Pelodiscus sinensis: one gene and its partner. The protein of the gene in region 1 purifies or fractionates together with the protein of each later gene. This does not show direct contact. Links are inferred from orthologs where the notes say so. Each region holds a gene or a part of one and is shown on either strand. Other genes may lie near its edges.

Evidence for each region.
Region 2: the proteins of CCNK (region 1) and CDK12 purify together in Homo sapiens (affinity purification with mass spectrometry; 6 studies listed by BioGRID and IntAct, with this or other methods). This does not show direct contact. The link is inferred for Pelodiscus sinensis from reciprocal best matches to the Homo sapiens genes CCNK and CDK12.

What each region holds. Positions count from the first base shown.
Region 1 is NC_134714.1:24,955,898-24,966,832, reverse strand, and holds the start of CCNK (cyclin-K), read left to right. Parts: upstream 1-6,933; 5' UTR 6,934-7,173; intron 7,174-10,662; 5' UTR 10,663-10,723; coding exon 10,724-10,920; intron 10,921-10,935. UniProt on the Homo sapiens protein: Regulatory subunit of cyclin-dependent kinases that mediates activation of target kinases.
Region 2 is NC_134739.1:11,876,865-11,887,204, forward strand, and holds the start of CDK12 (cyclin-dependent kinase 12), read right to left. Parts: upstream 4,166-10,340; 5' UTR 3,566-4,165; coding exon 2,502-3,565; intron 1-2,501. UniProt on the Homo sapiens protein: Cyclin-dependent kinase that phosphorylates the C-terminal domain (CTD) of the large subunit of RNA polymerase II (POLR2A), thereby acting as a key regulator of transcription elongation.

The DNA of each region.
Region 1 (10,935 bases):
CAAAAGCTGTATCACATAATAGTAGGGGATTTGCCATCACTAGCATAAGGTTGAGGATATTGGTCAAATATAAGAAACATTGCACTGCTACTGCTTTCACTGTACCTGGTCTGAAAAGAAAAAAAAAGCCTTAAGATCAAACTAATGCTTTTCATAGTATTACATTCACTTTCTTGAAAGTGTTGGGGGGGGCGCGGAGAGGGAAACCTTGTACAATCCTTGAAGATCACCAAATTTCCATTTTCAGGTATGTTAAAACTCAGCATTGGTAAAATATTTCAGCTACAAAACAACTTATTGCAGCATAATTTATGTCACTCAGGGGTATGAATAAACGACCCTCCATAGTGAAATAAGTTACACTGACATAAGCACCAGTGTGGACAGTGCTATGCTGACAAGAAAGCTTCTACTGATAACACAAAACCACCTCTGCAAGAGGCAGTACCTACTATCCAAACAGCTCTCTTCCTATAGCACAGAGCCTCTTCACTGGATGCATTGATTGCGTAGACATGCTCTTACAAGCAACCACCCTTCAGAAATCAGCAAATGAAGTTACTGGAATCAAATGCATTTTTTAAAATAACATCAGCCACAAAGAGGGGAGATCTATATATGTGTTCAGACACAAATTAGTCAATTCACAATTTTCTACCTGGCTTTTACCAAACAGAATAATCCCGTCTCAATACGACAATTATAGTTCCCAATAATTGGGCCTCAAAAGGTATTTGATTAGCAGAACATAGGCCAATTGTAATGAAGCAGAAAGGTGTCTTGACAATACTCTGACTTGCTATGTACAAAATACCCGTAAGTTTTCCCTCAAAGAGCCCACAGTAACATCACTAATAAAGAAATCTGGCATTCTAAGATTAATGAAGTCTGATTGTATTCATTGATAGGATAGAAATACTGGCAAATCTAGCATCTTGGTCAAGGCTTAAGAAGTTTACCACACATTTTAAACCACAAAACTCTTTGAAACATTGGCGAGTGAGGAGAACCAGCCATGTCTAAAGCAATACCTCTTGATTCCTACAATACTGGCATTTTCTACAAGATGCTATCCCCAGATGCCACTCAGGAAGACAACACTGCATTAATCAATATTAGGGAAAAATAATGTTTTGGGTTTTTTTCCTAAATTGATGTGCCAGCTTTTTGGGGGGGAGGCAGAGAGAGGATAAAAGAAGTTGTGTTTTAGCTGTTTTCCATTTGTCAAGGAACAGGAAAGGTTTCAGGTCAGGGCAAAGGGGGCGGGAGAACACTAGACATGAACAGACAGAAGGGAAAAACTACAGACTTACCAGAGAACAAGCATCAAGGACAAAAACTGAAAGGAAATATAACTGTTGAAAAAAGGAATTGATTAAAAAGATGCAAAAAGATTCTGGAAGCAAAAAAAAAAAAAAAGCTTACCAACAGAGGACCTAGATCATATGAACAGAGAGTGACTGAACATCTATTGGACAAATTCAGTTCAAAGTTGCCTAACGGACAAGTAAGGGCCATTTAGGTTAAGAAACTCTGCTTGTGGATAAACTCTGCGAAAGAGGTACAGCCATGGGAACACGGGAACAGTTCAAGCTGAAGAGAAGCAAAGAACAGGACAGCAAGAGTGGAGTTAAACTTATGCGAAGGAAAAGTAAAGTTGATTCTTCTCTCAAGTGGCACAGTATCGTGTAATATTTTGTTCTTAACATAAACACCACATTCGGTATTAACCGCAAACTATGTACAAGCTCAAAAAGGCTAAACATTTAAAGTTCTCTCTTTTGTCTTAGTTTGTCTTTCCTAACAGCATCACCTAGCTGGGTCATCACACTTTTTTCTTCAATCATTTATAAATGAAGATATGTATCATTTCCTCTCTCTGCCTCAGTCTCTGCACCTGTAAAATGAAATTAAGTGATTTACCAAAGCTCATGCAGCTGGTCAGCAGTGCAGCTGGCTATATAACCAAGGTCTCTGACTCCCAAGACCCAATCCACTGGATCATGTTGCCTGCCACCATTAGCCATTACAATGTTTTGGTATACAGGCAGTCCCCAACTTACGCGGATCCGACTTATGTCAGATCCGCACTTACGAACGGCGCTTTTCTCACCCCGGAGCTCACGGGTGGCGAGTCGCCACACGTGTCCTCCAGGGCGAGAAAAGCTTCTCCCGGTCTCCCTGGTCTGCTGGGGGGGGGTCCAGCAAAGCCGCTGGACCCCTCCCCAACAGACCAGGGACACCTGAGCAAAGCCCCCGCCTGGGCGGCTTTGCTCCTGGGCAAATGAGCAAAGCCGCCCAGCCGGGGGCTTTGCTCAGGTGTCCCTGGTCTGCTGGGGGGAGGGGTCCAGCGGCTTTGCTGGACCCCCCCCCAGCAGACCAGGGGGACAGGAGCAAAGCCCGCAGCGGGATAGCCCGGGCGCGCCTGGGCTGTCTCGCTGAGGGCGTGCTCCAAGGCTTTGCTCTGCATCACCCTGGTCTGCAGGGAGACGGGGAGCAAAGCCGTGGAGGACGCGGGCAGTCCCGCCACCCGCGTCTCCCTGGTCTGCTGGGGGGGGGGGGGTGCAGCTAGTGCCCCCCCTACCCCACCCGACCAGGCTTTTCTTGCCTACGCCTGGGGTAGAGCAGCTGAGGCGCTGCCGGGCTGGTCCCGCAGCGCCGCTCCTCGGCGCTACTGTACCAACCCGGCAGCACCCCAGCTGCTCTGCCCCAGGCATCCTGATTCAGCCGCTGCTGGTCAGTTTCAGCAGTGGCTGAATCAGGACGCCTGGGGCAGAGCAGCTGAGGTGCTGCTGGGTTGGTCCAGTAGCGCCAAGGAGCGGCTGCACTACTGGAGCAACCCAGCAGCACCCCAGCTGCTCTGCCCCAGGCGTTCCCAAGTCAGCCGCTGCTGAAACTGACCAGGGGCTGACTACAGGAAGCCCGAGGCAGAGTTGCTCTGCCCCGGGCTTCCTGGAATCAGCCGCTGATCAGTTTCAGCAGCAGCTGACATGGGGACGCCTGGGTTTCTTAAGCTGAATCCGTATGTAAGTCAGAACTGGCGTCCAGATTCAGCCGCTGTTGAAACTGATCAGTTTCAGCAGCGGCTGACGCCAGTTCCGACTTACATACAGATTCAGCTTAAGAACAAACCTACAGTCCCTATCTTGTACGTAACCCGGGGACTGCCTGTATAGTGCCTACCTGCCATTATACAAAATGCACCTTCTATCCACAGTCTATCTACCACTTCCAAAATACAATTACCCACAATATATACATCTCAATCATCCAAACACAGATATAACCTTAACTCAAACTCAACTAGAGTAAAATCACATCCTGATCGAATAGTTTAAACAACTATAAATGTATGAAAATTTTAATGTATTATATGCAAAAATGAACACTGCCTGTGTAAACTAAATCTGGCTCCTTGACATCACTTTTTTAACAACAGTGGAACAAGCCTAAATAAGCAACAGTGTAAAGCTTAATATTTAATTGGTTTAAAATCTGTTTTAAATGTACAATTCTGTGAATTCTATACCATGGATCTAGTAGGGAATATTTCATAATTCCAATTGCATATTCTTTCACCAAACAAATACTAAACAGTGCTGCCAATAAAGATGCATTCGTCTCATATATACAGACAGACAATATATGTTTTTTCCTTTTGGTTCACATAAATATAGTATTCGTGACTAGAAAGAAATTTGGAAAATTCAGATCTGCATCCAGTCTGCAGCTCAGTTCACCTTTACTTGGATATGCCAGTATTTTGATTCTACATGCTTACATTTTGGCTGAAATCCTAAAGCTATCTCTGGCTCTGCTTTGACAGGCAACAGGGTATGTTTTTCAATTGTGTTAGCTGAATCCAATTAACACAATTGAAAAGCCCTGTTAAAATGCAGGCGAGCATGTCTGAAGTTGTCATGTTACATTAACGCAACTAAGCTAACATGACTGATAAAACACACCCTTAAAGACACATCATTTGTGTATTTGTAGTTTGCTGAATGGATGACTAGTTTAAATTGGAAGCCAGATGTATGGATAATATCTGAAACATCATTCATCCAGATACCTACAGTAGCTTCTTTATATTATGTTTTTATTAAAAAAAAACCTAAAATATATTTAGTATATAGCACAATAAATTTTAAGTATTTTTCTTAAAAAAAAAAAAAAAACACAACAACAACAACAACAAAAACCACACATTAGTAAAACTGCTTCTCTGTAAAAATACACATTTCTCTACTAGGTGACCTTAATGAGGAAAAATGCTCCTTCCCTTTCCTTGTCAATAACTGAAGGCTAAGTCAAGTTATCATTCTGAAATGTGGACTAATCATCATAATCTTGGGAGCAGAAGAGGGGAAAGATGTGTTTATTTCACATGTAAAATGGTATATTTGTGAAGAGCAGAGTCTGCCATTTTACTCTGGAAGAGATAATAGTGGTATGAATTCATCTTTGTATTTCTTAAATGGTACAGGCAGTCCCCGGGTTACGTACAAGATAGGGACTGTAGGTTTGTTCTTAAGTTGAATTTGTATGTAAGTCGGAACTGGTACATATTGTAGGGGAAACTCTAGCCAAATATTTCTCCAGAGCTCAGTTTTATTCTCCCACATCTCACTTCCCTCAGTCCTTTATTCTCAAGCTGAGGTGTCTGCTGAGAAAAGCTGCTCCGCGTCTCCCTGGTCTGCTGGGTGGCGGGGGGGGGGGGGCGGGGGGGGACGCTAGCTTCGCGTCTCCCTGGTCTGCTGGGGGGAAGCAGCTAGTGCAGGGTTGCCTCACCCCGTTTGTAAGTAGGGATCCGATGTAAGTCGGATCCATGTAACCTGGGGACTGCCTGTATTTTATAGTCTAAACTAATCCTCTTTGAGCAGGAAAGGAAGTTGTAGAAACAGCTTCACCATGGCATCAATATCAGTAGCAGCTTCAGTACTGATTTAAGCAGGTTGCAACACACAGGCCCATGAAGATGTAATACCCCTGCAAATCAATCAATTCAAAAGATACTTAAATCATTCAGTGTATTTTAAGCTGCTGGGCTTAATTCTGCCACACACAAAAAAATAAAATACAAAAACCCCATAAAAAGTCAAAAAAGATGGCAGAAGAGAAAACAAAAGGAGTGCTTAAAACAATACAAACCAATGTTATATTATTGATAATTGAATCTAAGCCTCCTCCTGCTCACCTCTCTATGAAGCAAGAGACTCCCACATACCAGCAGAAACAGAGCTGGATCCAGAAAAATTGAAGTATGGGAGAATTATGGAAGGCAAAGAGGTAAGGGGAGTTGATTTAAACTCTTTTTTTTTTTAAATGTGAACTCTGATCAAAGCATTCATCAAAACATCAGGGAGAAGTCAAGTTAAGCATTTTGTTTACTTTCATTCCACCCTTGCTATCACTTTTTGGAGGGAGGAACAAGAAGAGGAAGTTGATGTAACTGCCCCCAGTTTTCATAAAAGTGAAGAAAATGTCATACCTTGAGAGCATATACACAGGGATTAAAACAAAATACTCACACATAACTGCAGGACAGGGAGTAGCAGGTAGGTGTGGGGTGTAATGTTTTTCTCTCCTGCCCTGGCAAGACAGTGAGTGGAAAATAGACAAGCAGCAAGTGGGAGAGCTGAAGTACATGTGATGAAGTACTGTCATCCCACCTTCTCTTCTCCCCTATCTCAGTCAGTGAAATGAGTGTTTTCTTTTACCAAAAGGACAGTGAGTGGGATGCACAGGAGAAGAAGCAAAATGAGAAACAGAGAAGTGTGGTGATACCCATAAGAGTAAGGGGTGGAGTGGTGGGTGAGGGACTGAGGATTGCAGCTCCCCCAGGAGAAATCTGATGTTAATAGGAAAGATGAGAAGGGAGAAGCTACAAGTGGGTGTCAGGCACAGACAAGAAGAGGAAGGCAGGGTGGGTGGGAAGAAGGACCACGACTTATGCCAGCAGGATAACAAGTGGGAGGCAGGTTTTCAGTACCAGAAGAGCAGGCTGCTAGGAATGGGATGCTCCCAGCATAGGAGACTGGATGGTGAAAGTTCAGGCGGTGAAGCTGCTCCCGCACCCTAAAGGGAGGGAAAGATAACACGCAGGGGCGCAGGAACAATTTCTGTAGTGGAGGGGCTCAGACCCACTGAGGCAAACTGCAAGCCCTGGATATAATGGAAACCACTTCAAACCAGGGGGTGCTGCAGCATCCGCAGCAGCACTAGGAGAGACGGGGGCGGCCGCTGAGGGGTGGAGCGAGGTCAGAGTTGTGCCGGAGGACACGGGGTGGCGAGGCCTGGGCGGGCGCGGAGCGGATGGGTTCACCGAGAGCTGCTGGGGGTGGCCCCTGCGGGACACAGATGATGGGAGGGGGTAGCGCCCCAAACCCGCCAGCGCGTGAGAGGACTGCCCCCCCCCAAAAGAAGAGGCCGGAACGGCCGGTGGCTCCCTACCTTCCGCACGACCGCGACGGCTCCTTCTCTTGGAAACGGCGCGCAGCCGCCCGCGTTTCTCTCACCGGACACCGTCCGCTGCCCGGGAAAGGGGGAGGTGGCGGCCGAGCTAACCCGAGCCCCACACTCCCAACGCCCGGCCCGCCCACTGATTCCACCCCGCTACCTCCATTGGCTGAGCCTTACCCACACAAAGGGCCCGCCCCCAGCTCTGCCACAGCCAAGGCATCTCATAGGCCGCCCCTTCCCCGCCGCCCCTGTCGCTCACCCACTGGGAGTGGCGGAAACAGGGACAAGGGGTGTGGCTACTCCCGATTGGCGAAAATTCACCCTACCACTTTCGATTCCTATTGGTTGAAGAGGCCTACAATCCTCTCGATTCGAGTACCTGATTGGTCTTCCTCGACACAGCCACGGTAGGGTGCGCGCAAACCTGTTCTAGTGTGCGTGTGATGGGGAAGGGTGGAAGTTAGCGCTGTGGCTAGGATCCTCATTGGTCGGCTGGAACGTGGGCGCCGTGCCCTCGCGACGCTAACGCAGCGACGGAACGCAACGCCTTGGTCCGATTCCCAAAATGGCGCCGCGCAGGGAGCGAAGGTGTTGTCGTTAGTGGCCTCGCAGTGCTGCGGGGGGTTCGCGCGCTTGATTTGTGAGTGTCTCTCGGTGGGAGTGTGACCGCGTACAGAGTGGGATGGGGCGGAGGTGACATGGGGCTCTGGGGTAGGTATGCGCGAGGAGCGGGATGCCGTGGTACGGGACTTCTGGGTGCTGAGCGAGGGTCGGGACGCTGAGGAGAAGGGGTTGCGATCGTGCCGGGGGGTGCTGTGGCCAGGCGGCTGAAGAGGGAGGTGTAAATTGAGATCCCGGTCCTGAGGCAGCGGGAGATTTGAGGCGGGGGGTGGGCGTAGCCGTGGGGCTGATTCGGAGTGGTTGAGAGCCGAGTGTCCTTGAGGGCCCTGGCGCTGGGGAGGGTCCGTGTGAGAATAGGGTGCCAAACATGGCTATCGGGCCACTCGACCTTCGCGCGTTGTTTCTCCAGTCTTCAGTCTGGGCAGTAGCCCGCCCCTTCTCCCCCATCCCCCGGAAGATTGGTGTCATAAAAACGTAAAATTTGTCCTTCGGTTCAACTCTGCTAACTGCGTTACACGTAGGAAAAGGCTAGTCGAGACCGTACGTTGGATTAAATCAGTATTTGCTGTATGTGGGGCAGGTGGTAGTGTGATCTTTCCTAAGAAAAGTTTCACTGTAAACTAGCTTGTTTGTGAAAGTGCTGTATTGGGGAGGTAAGGAATGAGCTCGTGGTGCCTGCTAGTCGTTGTTGTTTTTGTGATGTAAGAAGAGACTTTTAAAAATAAAGCTGTTAGTTTAATGTTCTTAAAGTATTCCAATTACCGACTTTTGTCTGTTTTGGTTTTGATGAGAAACCTCTTGAAACAAAGGAGGGAATTCCATACAAAAAAAATGCTGTACTCAATATTTTAAAATTCTGCAGGTTTTGTCTATAAATGTGGAGTCTCCAACACGGTAGTGGAAAACATAGCCCAGTAGCTGTACAGAGGCTGGAGATCACCCTACTGCTCCCTTTTCCCACAACACTGTGGTGAAGCTGCACCCAACCTTGACAAAACACAAAGTCCAACTCTGCCCCCAAAACACCCTGGGGTCCTGGCCCTCTGCATCAGGTGCACCAGCTATGCAAGGGCAGATGCAGAACAGTGGGATCCAAGTGTGCAGAGGCTTGATGTGGAGAGGTTCAGGTGTGGGAAAAGAGGATTTTGGGTGTAGGCAGCTTAGTTGAGGGGGGAGTCCAGGTATGCAGAAGATCTGTATGCACAGTGGGGTCCAGTTTAGGGCTGTAATAGTGTAGTCAATTAACCAATAAGCAAAAGTTTATAGGTTAATGCTATAGGCCCCTTGCATTCCCGCCACCCGGCCAGTAAATTTTTTAGCAGGCTGGCCAGCAACCTGGCTCAATCCTGGCTCACACTGGGTCTGGGACCTACCCCTCTTGCGGCTCTGCATTAAAAGTGTATCAGGAGCTGGGTGGGCAGGCATCCCGGCTCAGTTTTGGCTCATGCTGCGTCCAGGAGCTCAGTGATCCCCTGGACAGGGACTGTTGCCTCTGTATCAGAGGTAGCAGCGCAGGGTGAAAGGCAGCTGGGCCAGGAGGGGAGATGGTTTCTAAACTGGCTCACCTCATGGACCAGCTCCCACCTGGTGCTCCTGCACTGCTGCCTTGGTCCCAACTCTGGGGCTTCTATAGTCCCCGCACTGCTGCCCCGGCCCCACTTCCGGGGACTATAGACTAGTTGAGTAACTGATAAGAATTCATGAATTTAATAGACTGTTCAACTAACCGATATTTAACATCCCTAGTCCAGTTGCAGGGGCATAGGAACTTTGCAAGGGGATCCAGATGAAGATGATTGGGGCTAAGAAGCGGATTCTGGGTGTTGGAAATTTAGCAGAGGTGTCCAGATATTGGGAGAGTGTGGATTGGCACGGTGGGAGTCCAGGTGCAGCTGGTTGCAGACCTGGTCTGGGTGCAAGAGGCTTGTGGGGTGGTTCATATGCATAGGAAGTGGGGTTCATTGGACTGAGAGTTCAAGTGAAGGGGTTGCACGGGGTAGTCTGGATACAGGAATACCCACAGTCCAGATACCGGAGGCAGTGGGGCTTGGCACGGGAGTCTGACTACATAAGGTAGTACTCAGTGTGGGGGGACTCCAAATGTAGAAGCTAAGGCTTGGCAGAGGAGAGTCTGGGTATTGGAAGGGAAAGTGTCTTGATGCACAGGGTTGTCTGTATGGGGAAGAGGGGTCATGACTCTGACCCAGCACCAGCAAGTGACTGGACTGGGCTGGTTTTGAAAAGACACTGACATTTAGGAAAAAACAAACAGTCTGGAGATATGCTCACTTGATTCCCTGAGACTGAGAAGTAAGTCTTACGTTTGTAAGACCTTTATGCATGTAGGCCTGTTCTTGTTTTAACATTTTTCTCTGATTGCTGCATTCCTGCGGAGAGAGAAATAGGTTGCAATGAATACATATAGATGGCCAAACTCAGCTGGGTCTGCAGAGTAATCATAATTGGTGCCTGGAGACACTGTAAAAGAGAGGTGAATCAAGAACAATGAAGGCACAGTATCTGTAATTTGACAGAAAGTTCATGGAGGAGGGAGCTTCTGCTAACCCTCTAATTTACCTAGAAATTCACAGGAATCCATTGGAAACTGAAGCACTGATTTAATTTGCTTGTAGGAACATACCTTGCTTTCTCAGTGTGCTACCACATTCTGCACAATATCTTGTTTGTTGGTGGTTTTAAGACATGGTCCCATATGGAGTGCATTTTAGTAATCTTAACTTTGAGATGACAAAAATGTAAATGAGGCAAGATCCATATGTGAAAATGATTAGAAAGCAGCAACCACCAGATCAGTTATCTGATCTTCCTGTGGCATCTAGGAATCCAGTTGGACCCCTAGATTGCAAACCTGGCCAAGCTGTCATGGCATACACACTAGATCAGGGCTGGGTGAGAGACTGTTAGCAGGCCAAATCTGTCCTGCCTAGCCCTTTTATCTGGCCATGTGGCAGTTCCTGGCCCTGCCCCATGATGCATTGTCTGGGAACTGGAGGTGCCCTTTCAACTGCTTCTATTTAAAGGGCTTGTGCCTTTCCTGTGGCTACCAGGCAATGCGTTAGGGGTGGGGCTGGGACCTCTGAGCCCTTTCAACTGCTTCTATTTAAAGGCACTGCCGCATCTGCCCGAGGCCCCACCCCCTTTGGCCCACAACCACTTAAACATTTTTTGAAGTGCCCCCCCCTTCAAAAATTATTGCCCATTCCTGCCCTAGCTCAAGTGAGCAAATATTGTACAGTAACTTACTTGCCCAAGTTTTGCTAATTTTGCATTTATACATTCTTTTAATTTTCCATTTGCCTGCAGGCTAGGGAAATACAGTGTATATGAAACCTGAACTTCTCACAAATGAAATATCTTACCAAATAAACTTTTTGCATCGTCTTTATGCAGCAATTAATTAACAATTTAAAATGGTTTCCCTTCTTTCGGGTATCTTTTCATTCTGCCTTGTGACTTGTCTAGCGTATGTATGCATAGTGAAAATATCACTTATCTCAGGATGAAAAATGATGGTTTATTGCAGTTTTTTCTGATTATATTTTTTTTATTATTTTGAAGCTGCTGTCTGAAAATCCATTGTCTGAAAACGTATCAAGCAGGAACGATTGTACTTCAATAAATGAAGGAGAATAAAGAAAATTCCAGCCCTTCTGTAAATTTGGCAAACCTGGACCACACAAAACCATGTTGGTACTGGGATAAAAAAGATCTGGCACATACACCATCACAGTTAGAAGGACTTGATCCAGCTACTGAGGCACGATACCGCCGAGAAGGAGCCAGATTCATATTTGATGTAGGAACACGTCTAGGACTGTATCCTTTTGAGTT
Region 2 (10,340 bases), on another chromosome or scaffold:
ATGCAAGTTCATGGAAGCACATTCAAAGCTGCTTCCATAAGACCAGCTTTGGAAAAAGTGATTTTTCACAAGAGCAACTATCATTTTACAGACCAAATCAAATATTGCTTTTTTTGAGATGTGTTGGGGGGGAAGAGGAAGGAAAACACAGCACTTTAGTGTTGCTTCCTCTGTTACCAAGGGATGTAAAATTTCAATTATTTGGCCAATCGAATAGTCGAAGCAAATTGCATCAACTATTCAATAAAGTTGATAAAGGCACTTCTGCCTTTAAATTATAGCAGTCCCCCACTGGCCTCACGCTCCCTGTGGCATTTCAAAGCTGACCCTCAGCTCCATGTGGCGCTGCTGCTTTGAAACACCAAAGAGAGCCCAACATCAGGCTCCACAGTGTTTCAAATCAGCAGTGCTATATGAAGTCCAGGGTCAGCGGGAGAGTTCCCAGCTGACCCCAGGCTCCACACGGCGCGACCACTTGGAACCACCTCCTCCTCTATTCCCCCTCTCCCCCGCTGCCTCTTTCTGATAGAGGCAGCAAGAGGGGAGGGGGGAAGTGACTAGTCGACTAGCCTGTCGACTATCGGATAAGCATTTGCTTATAGGATAGTTGACTAGTCGTTCACATCCCTACTGTCACCCTCCAATTCAACAGCAACCCTTTTGCTGGTTAAAGAAGAGTAGCTATACACCCTTACCAGAGGCTACATAGCACAGCCAGAAAAGATATACAAGGCATCTGCCACTCAGGATTTTTCTAGAGATGTAAAAGCACGTGACCTGTGAAAACAAGGTTTTCATTTCCCAAAAAGATTTGGGTTTTACATGTACACAGCTCCACTAGATCATATTTCAAAATTAATGGACAGGAAGCTTTTACTTCGATATAGTTTATCAAAATAAACTAAAGATGGGGGAGAACAGGGGTGACTCCAATGAGCTAACTTGAGGCAAAATTTACAGATGCCTTATCACTACTAGGATTTTACATTGAGATAGCTATTTGCAGTTCAGACAAAGACAGGATTTTTAGTCTATACTAGTCCTGATTTTCACTGGAAAACCTTATATGTGAAGAGCAATGGATGTTGTTTTAGGGCTCAATTCCAAAGCACTAAATTTAATGGGACTACCCAAATGAGAAGTTCAAATCACACAGGTAAAGATGTGCAGACCCAATCTCGTTCACCAATGGAATCCTGGGAAGCAACACAACTAACATTGTACATATTGTTTTGCTAGTTTATCATAAGAACTTATTTCACGTAGAAGTTCTTTTCTGAATTATGATAAATCTATAGCCAGTTCCACTACACGCATGCCTAGAACTGGAGGCTCACTGAGACAAAAATTCTAGATTGAAAAATAATCCATATTAGGCTATCTACCAATCTGTACTCAAAACACTCTTCATTACTATAAAATTGAAACAAAATGCAACACTATTACTAATTTCAAACAAAATGTGTGTGTGTCTGTGTGCGTGTCAAAGTTACTGGAGCATAAAAAGAAAAAAAATCCGTGTTCCAAACTAAAAAAAAGTTACCTAATTGACCTTCTAGAATGCCAAGGGACTATTTAAAACGAATGGAAGCAAATGATCTATAACTGAGCAGAACACTTAGCTTGAGAAAAGCAAGTTAAACTATAAAGAAGTAACTTAAATATGGACAACTCTAATGATGAGGAAAGGAAAGAAAAAAATTAATCAGTTCAGAGTGAGATATGCGCTGAATTAAACAAGCCTTCTGAAAACTATAATCTCTTTCCTAGAATTTGGATCAAAGTTTCCAGAATGAGAGAACTTTTAAAAATACTTAGTGGTAGCAAAAGATGTTGGATTTTCAGCACTAGAAATTTTAAAAGTTTTCCACAGAACACTCTCACCAAGTGCAAACTTCCGCACAACACTTCATGACTGTTCTGCAAGGCCCACAGCTAGAGGCAAGTGTAACTCAATCCTACTGGCTCATTCAGTCTTGGCCTCTGGTGGTTTTAAGAAGTGGACATCTATCCAAAGGGATCGGTAACGAGCCCCATGGAGCAGTGAGGAGCCCTTGGCAATAATAAGTGCACACTAATTACCTAGGTCAGAACTGAACATGTGATCTTGAGCAATGTTTCTCAACCTTTTTTTTTTTTTAATAAAGTACCTCCTTTTTAAAAAAAATTATAATGACCCCCAGGACCTACAGTTTTCAGACACACACAAATTGTTTCTACCATTGCAGCGTATTGGGTTAAACAACTTAATCATAGCTGGGCGTGCAGTGAAATTTTTGGGTGTAAAAAGTACAAATAATAAAGCGCTGTAAAACTTAAGAAAAATTCAGTTTTCTCCAAATTTCAGTTGTGTTGACGTAACCCCCCCAGACTTCTCTCAAATACCCGTAAGGGTACTCATACCACTGGTTGAGAAACACTGATCTAGAGGGTCAATCAATCACCCCTCCAAAGCCATCCAATCTCCCTCCCAACACACAAAAAACAGAGAGATCACACACCTGGCTACTGGACTTCGGCTCACGGACCGCTTGGCAACAAAAGGACTGCTTGAGCGCCTTCGGCTGTACGGGCTGGGTGACCTTCCACTGTACGACCCACTTCCCCTCTCATAACTGGATGAGCGTCTCCTGTTGTACGGGCTGATGGACCTCTGTCTTCGACCATAAGGACTAGGAGATCGAGTGTTGGACTGGTATGCTACGGGTTCCTTGTAGGGTGGGCTGACTGACTGCCTGCGTGATGAGCCACCTGGGCTCTTCTTGTATGAGTCATAGTTGCTGGATGTATGTGACCGTGGAGGGCTAAGATCGTATTCTTGGGTGTAAGATGCTCCCGAAGGGCTGTCATCCTGTTTGGGGCTGTCAGCCCATTTCCTGTGAGGACTCCGGGATTTCCGTTTTGGACTGTCAGTGCTTTTGTAGCTTTTCACAATGTCCCTTTTTCGATGGCTTTTACTGCGGTCTTTGTGCCCAGACTTCAGCTCCCGCTCTTTTCTGGACTTCTCCTTGTGTGCTTTGGCTGACCTGGAGTCCTTGTTGCTGCTTCTTGATGGCTGTGATTTAAAGTGTTCTTCATTCTCCTCATTGAGTCTTTTGGAGGTCCCGGACACTCGGTCCTTGATGGATCCTGACCTGATGGACACCTCCTGAGTCTTTTCCAACTTCTTCTCTTTTTCCACCTGCTTACTCCTGTTCAGCTCCCGAACACGCTTGTGCTGGTGGTGCCGGTGCTTGTGCAACCTGTCACTCCTGTCTGAGCTCCCCTTCCTCTCATCATTCTCCCTCCTTTCCAACTTGAGGGCCACATCATCGGAGAAGGTGTCCGAGTCGGAGCTGATGTCATCATACTCCACCAGTGGCTTGATCATCGCACCCAGCGGCGCCGCCGTCTCTTGAGCCACCAGCGGCGAATCTTTAGAGTGCTTGGACCTGTGCCTCTTGTGTCTGGAGACCAGCCGGTGCCTCTCCTTGCTGTTCGAACTGCCACTGCTGGATGTCTGCTGCTGCAACGACCCCCCTCCTCCTCCATCCTTCTTGCCCCCATGTCTCTCTGGATTTGGCATTCCTTCTCCACTGTGCTTGGAAGAGGGGAGGGGGGAATCCTCCAAAGCCCCCAAACTTTAAACCCCAGGCACCGACACCCCTCCCCCAGCTACAGGCCTCTTTCCGTGGCCTGCCTTTCTCCTCCCACCATTCACAACCACTTCTCCCCCCCCCCTGCGCCTTTCCTCCCTGGTTCTAACTCCCTCCCTCCTTCATGGGGTGCAGCCCTTTGGATCAGGCCCCTGGGGTGGGGGAGGGGGACTTGACCTCACAGGGCCCCTGGGCAGGCAGTTAAAGGGCCTGGAAAGACCCAAGGGGGGGTCTGGGGAAGGGGGGTGGCTGGGGCCTGGAGCGGGCCCCTGGGCCTGGGCAGAGGGTCCCCCGGGCAGGGGCCCCCTGGGTAGATCCCTAGGCCCGGCTCCCTCAGCGGAGAGTCCCCGGCTCCCGCCCCCTCAGCCGCGGCGCGGCGAGTCCCCGGCTCGCGCCCCCTTTGTCCGCCCCGCGCCCGGGGCCGCCTCCCCTCTCACTTCCCAAAGCGAAACGGCCCCGCTTCCAAGGGGGCAGCCGCCAACTCTCGCGACGCTCTCGCGTGACGGCCGAGAGCTTCCCCCTCCCTCTCTCCCCGAGGCAAAGGCCGCGAGACGCTCCGGCCGGGCCCGCGCCAGCCTCGCGAGAGCTCCGCGCGGGGCTGCTCAACAAAACTTTATTGAGCCACCTGGTAACGCGGCCAGAGAAACAAGCAAGCCCAAGGCAACGGCTCTTTTCAACAAAACTTTATTGAGCCGCACTGTGCGGACAGCGCCTCCTTTCCCCCTCCCCCACATACTTTCTTCCCCTGCAAAACTTGATTGAGATGCAGAGTGTGGTCAAATCACCAAGCCCCTGCCCCAGATACTTGTGTGGAGGAGCCTCAGGGCCCCTTCCCAGCTTCAAAGAGAGCCTGAGTGCCATGCAATAGGCCCCACAAAACATGTGAAGCAGCCAGCAGTGCCCTCAAGGCAGTGACATGGGGGTGGGGGTGAGGGTTGGTGCCTCTCTAGGCTCAGTTTCATAGAGAAGCCAGGTGTATAACCCACACTCTCCTGTTCTAAACACTAGACCCTGCTCCTGTTCCATGGCCAAAACAGAACCCAGGAGTCCTAACTCCGTTCATCTGAAGAAATGGGTTGTACCGACAAAAGCTCATGCACTTCAAAGACTAACAAGATGATTTATTAGGTGATGAGCTTTCGTGGGCCAGACCCACTTCCACAGATCAAATCAGATCCACTATTTGATCTGAGGAAGTGGGTCTGGCCCACGAAAGCTCATCACCTAATAAATCATCTTGTTAGTCTTTAAAGTGCTACATAGTCCTGTTTTTTGTTTCATCTACATGTTTTGTTAGTCTTTAAGGTGCTGCAGATAGACTATTCCTTGTTTTTTAAGTTTGTCCCAGTCTTATGATTCTCATCTCCTCTCCTCCCCCCCAACTTTTATTTACTTACCAATTACCATTGCTCAAATTGTCGCTCACTTTATTTACTTACCTCACCTGACTCCACCCAGAAACTGAAGCACCCAAAATCAGCAGCAATGTCTAAAAGTTTGTCCTGCCATTGCTTCAATTGTCACTCACTTTAAAGCAGGTGGTGTAGTTGCAGACCTAGGATATTAGGGAGACAAGGGCTATGTCTTTTGCCCAAAAAAACCTTCTTGCGCAAGAGCCGTCCTTCCTGTTTCTTCAAGTAAGAATGGCTCTTGTACAAGAGGGTTTTTTTGCGCAAAAACGGAGCCTAATTAATTATGCAAATGAGGCGCAGCGATATTCCACGCTTTGCGTCATTTGCATATTTTTTGCACAAAAGGGCTGTGTCTAAAGTGGCCGCTCTTGCGCAAAAACTTGCTGCCTGTCTACACTGGCCTTGTGTTCTTGTGCAAGTAAACTGACGTTCTAATGTATAAAATCAAGTGTTCTTGCGCTAGAACTCTGACACTCCCGCTCAGGAATAAGCCCTCTTGCAAAAGAGCTCTTCCAGAAGAGGCCAGTGTAGACAGGCAACATGAATTTCTTGTGCAAGAAAGCCCTATGGTTAAAATGGCCATCAGAGCTTTCTTGCGCAAGAGACTGTCTACACTGGCATGGATGCTCTTGCGCAAAAGCACATGCCAGTGTAGACGCTCTCTTCTGGAAGAGTTTTTGCAGAAGAACTCTTGCGCAAAAGAGTTTTTGTGCGAGAACGCGCTAGCGTAGACGTAGCCAAGGTGTGTGAGATAATATATGTTATCGGATGAAGTTCTGTCGGGGAGAGAGACAAGCTTTCAAGATAAGAAGAGCTCTTGTTTAAAAGCTTGTCTCTTTTACCTACAGAAGTTGGTGTCCTAAAAGATATGACCTCACAATTACTTTGACTCACTTCAGTGGATATTTTATCTGAGTAAGGACTGAGCAAAAGCTTGGGTGAAGGCATCCAGATTGGACAGATAGTGAATAGTATAGTAAGGGCCTAAAAATGCCTGTTTTAAAATGTTAAATCAAATAGAATAAGCAAGTAAAAACTCCCTCCCCTCCATCTGACAAAAAAAAAAATACTCTCTTGAAGTTTCCATCCCTATCTTATTTGAAAAAGAGACAACAGTAAAAAGGACTGGATTTTGAGATTTGAGAGCCATACATGAAGGATTGCTATGAATGATATAGTAGTGGCCCCAGTAATGCATCATTAAATGTATTGAAAACTGTAAGGTTCAAACAGTCACAGCAGAAGACAGATGTAGGTTTGTATCATGGTCACTTCAGTTCACAGTCTTCAAGGATGGCAAAAGAAATACAAATATTTTGTGGTTTATGGCTGCTTTTGCATCCACCTCCTGCTGCTAAAGGCCACAATTCTGCAATGAGCTCAGTATGGAAAGCAACTTAAGCCCACACAGAGCTCCATTAACTTTACCATTTTAAGGCCAGAAAGGATTATTGTGATCATCTTGTTTGCTTTCCTACTTAACACAGGCCACAGAATTACACTCAGCCAGGAATTACTATATCAAGCCCAATAATTTCTGACTGAAGTAGAGTATATCTTCTAGCGAGACATCCAGTCTTGATGTAAACATTCCAAGAGATGGAGAATCCATTACTCCCCTCAGCAAGCTGTTCCAACTGTTAATACTCCCGACCTTTTCAACCCACACGTTATTAACAAATATGCTTGTAATCTTCCATTTGATTTTGTCTAGCTTACATTTCTAACCTTTGGATCTTTTTGTCTGTTAGATTAAAAACCCTTTATCGTTGGAAATCTTTATTTCAAAACCACAATCAAGTCATCTTCTATCTTCCTTTTTGGGGCTCCTACCACTTGGAGCTCATTGCAGAATCAGGGTCTCAGTAAAAAAGTGGTAAACAGATGACCTTGCACCCTGATTTGATTTCCTATAATGTGTGTTTGTTTCACAGGGAGTTCTGTGATTGATTAAGAAATTGTAATGAGCTGATTGGCACACAGAAGTATTTAACACAGTTTTCCTACTGTAAGGAATCAGAACTGTACATCAGAGGCCCTATACTGCTAACAGCTGAAGGAAACTGTCCTTTAGTGCTTTCTGGAGCGGAAGGATACAAGTTGCATCTCCACACCTCTCATGAATTTCAGAATGATTGTTTTGTTTAAAAAAAATGACAACCATTATAGTTCTAGGTAGCATTTCTCCCCATTTATATTGCAATAGAAGACTTACCCAGCATTGCTCAGCTCCTTAATTTATGTTTTTGTTTAATGAAAATGTGCATGCTTCATCTGAATCATTGTTTTGGGGGTGGGGCTAGGGATGAGGGGTTCAGTTTGCAGGCTGCCCTGGGGAAAGAGGACAACCCCAGCTCTCTCTCACCACAACAGATTGGAGCCACATGAGAAGTACCTCTCCATGTCCACTGCAATTCCAGCGGGCACAGCTGGGGGAGGGGTATAGATGGGACTGGTGCAGGTTCATCTGTCCCCTGTGCTCTCCAGGCATAGTGAGGAAAGCAGCAAACTGTGCACTTCCCTGTCACTCCCTGACATAGGGGAACAGCCAACTGTGTCCTGTACAAATTGGGAGAGGGGAATTTGAGCCCTCCCTAACAAGGCCCTGTGGGGGTGGGCGCCTCAGGGCTGTGGCAGTCTCATATGAGGGGGGCACACCCCTCGCCAGCTGCTTTCATCTGCCTGGTGATTCTGTCTCTTTTCTGTTTGGTTTGGTGAGAAGCAATCCCATTCCAGGCATATCCTATTTTCCTGGCATAACCAAACCTTTATCTTCCTTTAAACTCTCTTGGGCTACGTTTACACTCACGGCTTCTTGCGCCAGAAATATGCAAATGAGGCTAAGCGTGGAATATCGCTGAGCCTCATTTGCATACCTAATGAGCCGCCATTTTTGCAGAAGAGGCTCTTGCGCCGGAAGGAGCTGTCTACACTGTCCTTTCTTGCGCAACACAAACCCTCTTGCACAATGCCGTTATGCCGATTACTTTTCAGGAAGAACGGCATTGCGCAAGAGGGTTTTTCTTAGCCAGATTCTGGCTAAGAAGCTGCGAGTGTAGACATAGCCCAAGAGAGTTTAAAGGAACATAAAGGTTTGGTTGTGCCAGGAAAATAGGATATGCCTGGAATGGAATTGCTTCTCACCAAACCAAACAGAAAAGAGACAGAATCTGGCTAAGAAAAACCCTCTTGCGCAATGCCGTTCTTCCTGAAAAGTAATCGGCGTAACGGCATTGCTCAAGAGGGTTTTTGTTGCGCAAGAAGGAGCAGTGTAGACAGCTCCTTCTGGCACAAGAGCCTCTTCTGCTAAAATAGCGGCTCATTAGGTACGCAAATGAGGCTCTGCAATAGTCCATGCTTAGCCTCATTTGCATATTTCTGGCGCAAGACACCGCGAGTGTAGACAGCCTTGGATATGTAGTAAATCAGCAAATCTACTGCTTTATTGGGACAAATTTCCCTTACTTTTTTGGTTAAATATTCATGTATTTGTATTCACTACCTCACTTGGACATGTGATCAGGCCCAGCCAATGAGTTTGCAGAGCCCAAGGCAGCATGTTGTGGTTAGCTGCACCACATGGCCAGGCAACTCCCAGCAAGGGAAGCAAGCAAGTAGGAGGGTGCCAGGCAGTGCAGGGACTTAACAGCACAGGGCCCAATGCAGCCTCCTTGCTCACTTTGCCCTAAGTCCAGGCGTGTATGTGATGATAAGTCATTGTAGGGTTGCCAAGTGTCCGGTTTTCTACCGGACAGTCCGGTATTTGCGCCCTCTGTCCGGTAGAAAAATTCAGAAAATACTGGAAATGTGTAATGTCCGGTATTTTCTGATTTTTCAGCTGGGCACTGGACGGAAGCCTGGCGGGGGCGGGGGAGCGACTGGGAGGCGGGGCCGCGATTGGCGCTGGGAGCCCTGTGGTTGTGTGCAAAAGCCAGGTGGGGCGGGGCGGGGCAGGGGCAGTGGCCCGGACTCCCAGCCGCTCCCCCTGCTGGCTTCTGTGCACAACTAGAGGCTCCCAGCGCCATTTGCGGTCCAGCCTCCCAGCTGGGAGCTTCTGGTTGCATGCAGAAGCCCGACGGGGGAACAGCTCCCAGCCACTCCCCCTGCCCCCACCCGGCTTCTACTAGAAAATAGAGGGAGTGCCTGCCGGGAGTGCAGACTGTTGGACTGCAGCTGCAGCCAGTGGCTGCACCCCCCTGCCAGCTTTGCTCCTCCCCCTCCTCTGGCCGCCCATCCTCCCATCCAGCCCCCGCAGCCCCCGATCCCCCCCAGTTCTGCTTCCCGTCCCCCCTCCCTCCTTTTCCATCCCCCTGGCCCCCAATCCTCCTCCCAGCTCTGCTTCCCGCCCCCCTTCCTCCCAGCCTGCCCCACCTCCCCTGCCCAAGATCAAGTGTGTCTGGTATTTTGGGGGGGGAGGGGGAATCTACCTGGTAACCCTAGTCATATGTATCTTGTGCAACTGCCACAGGGTAGATTTGAACCTAGGCCCTCTAGTGCTTAGTGTAGGACAGTGATAGAAATGTAGCTGTGTTAGTCTGGTGTAGCTGAAACAAAATACATAGACCTGTATTTTGTTTTAGTGTAGGACAGTGGTTCTTAACCTTACTGCAGCCTGCACCTCTTTGGTTCTCAAAATATGTTCTCATACCCCTTATTAAAAATCATTGAAGTAGGTCAATTCTTTAAACATGATATATCATAAAAATCTGGCATGTCTCGCACCCCCCAAAAAGGTATTTTGCACCCCCAGGGGATGCATGCACCCCAGGTTAAGATCCGCTGGTGTAGGAGCTTCTACAGCCTGAGCTATAAAGGTAGGTGGCTTTTAGTTGGGGCTGTAGAGCTCACTCATTCTTACATCTCTCTGTAAGTGGTCTAAGTGCCACTACTGGGACAGTGAACTACACCCACTAGGTGTGTGAGTTACATCTGCACAATTAGCCATTGAATGGGGATACATGGTTTCCTTGGAGAAAGAAAGAGTCTACTCCATTCATAAAAATTGCCTGAGCTACCACTCAGGAAGAGGGTCTTCAGCTGTGGCTTATTAACTGGCAGTCAGGCCAGAAAAAGGGAAGGTACAAAAGCAGGCTAGGTGTCTTTAGTGTAGAGAGGTTGTGCTTCTGGAGTTGGGGAGGAGGAAAAAATGGTTAGACAGGCTTTCCCAAGAAGAAACTGTTATTTGTGAAACTATAGGAATGAAACAGGCATTAGTCTTGAGTTCTGCAAAAGGGAATCTTTCTGTTTAAGCTACAGGAAGCTGGAGCTGTGCATTTAGGCCTGACTGGGACTG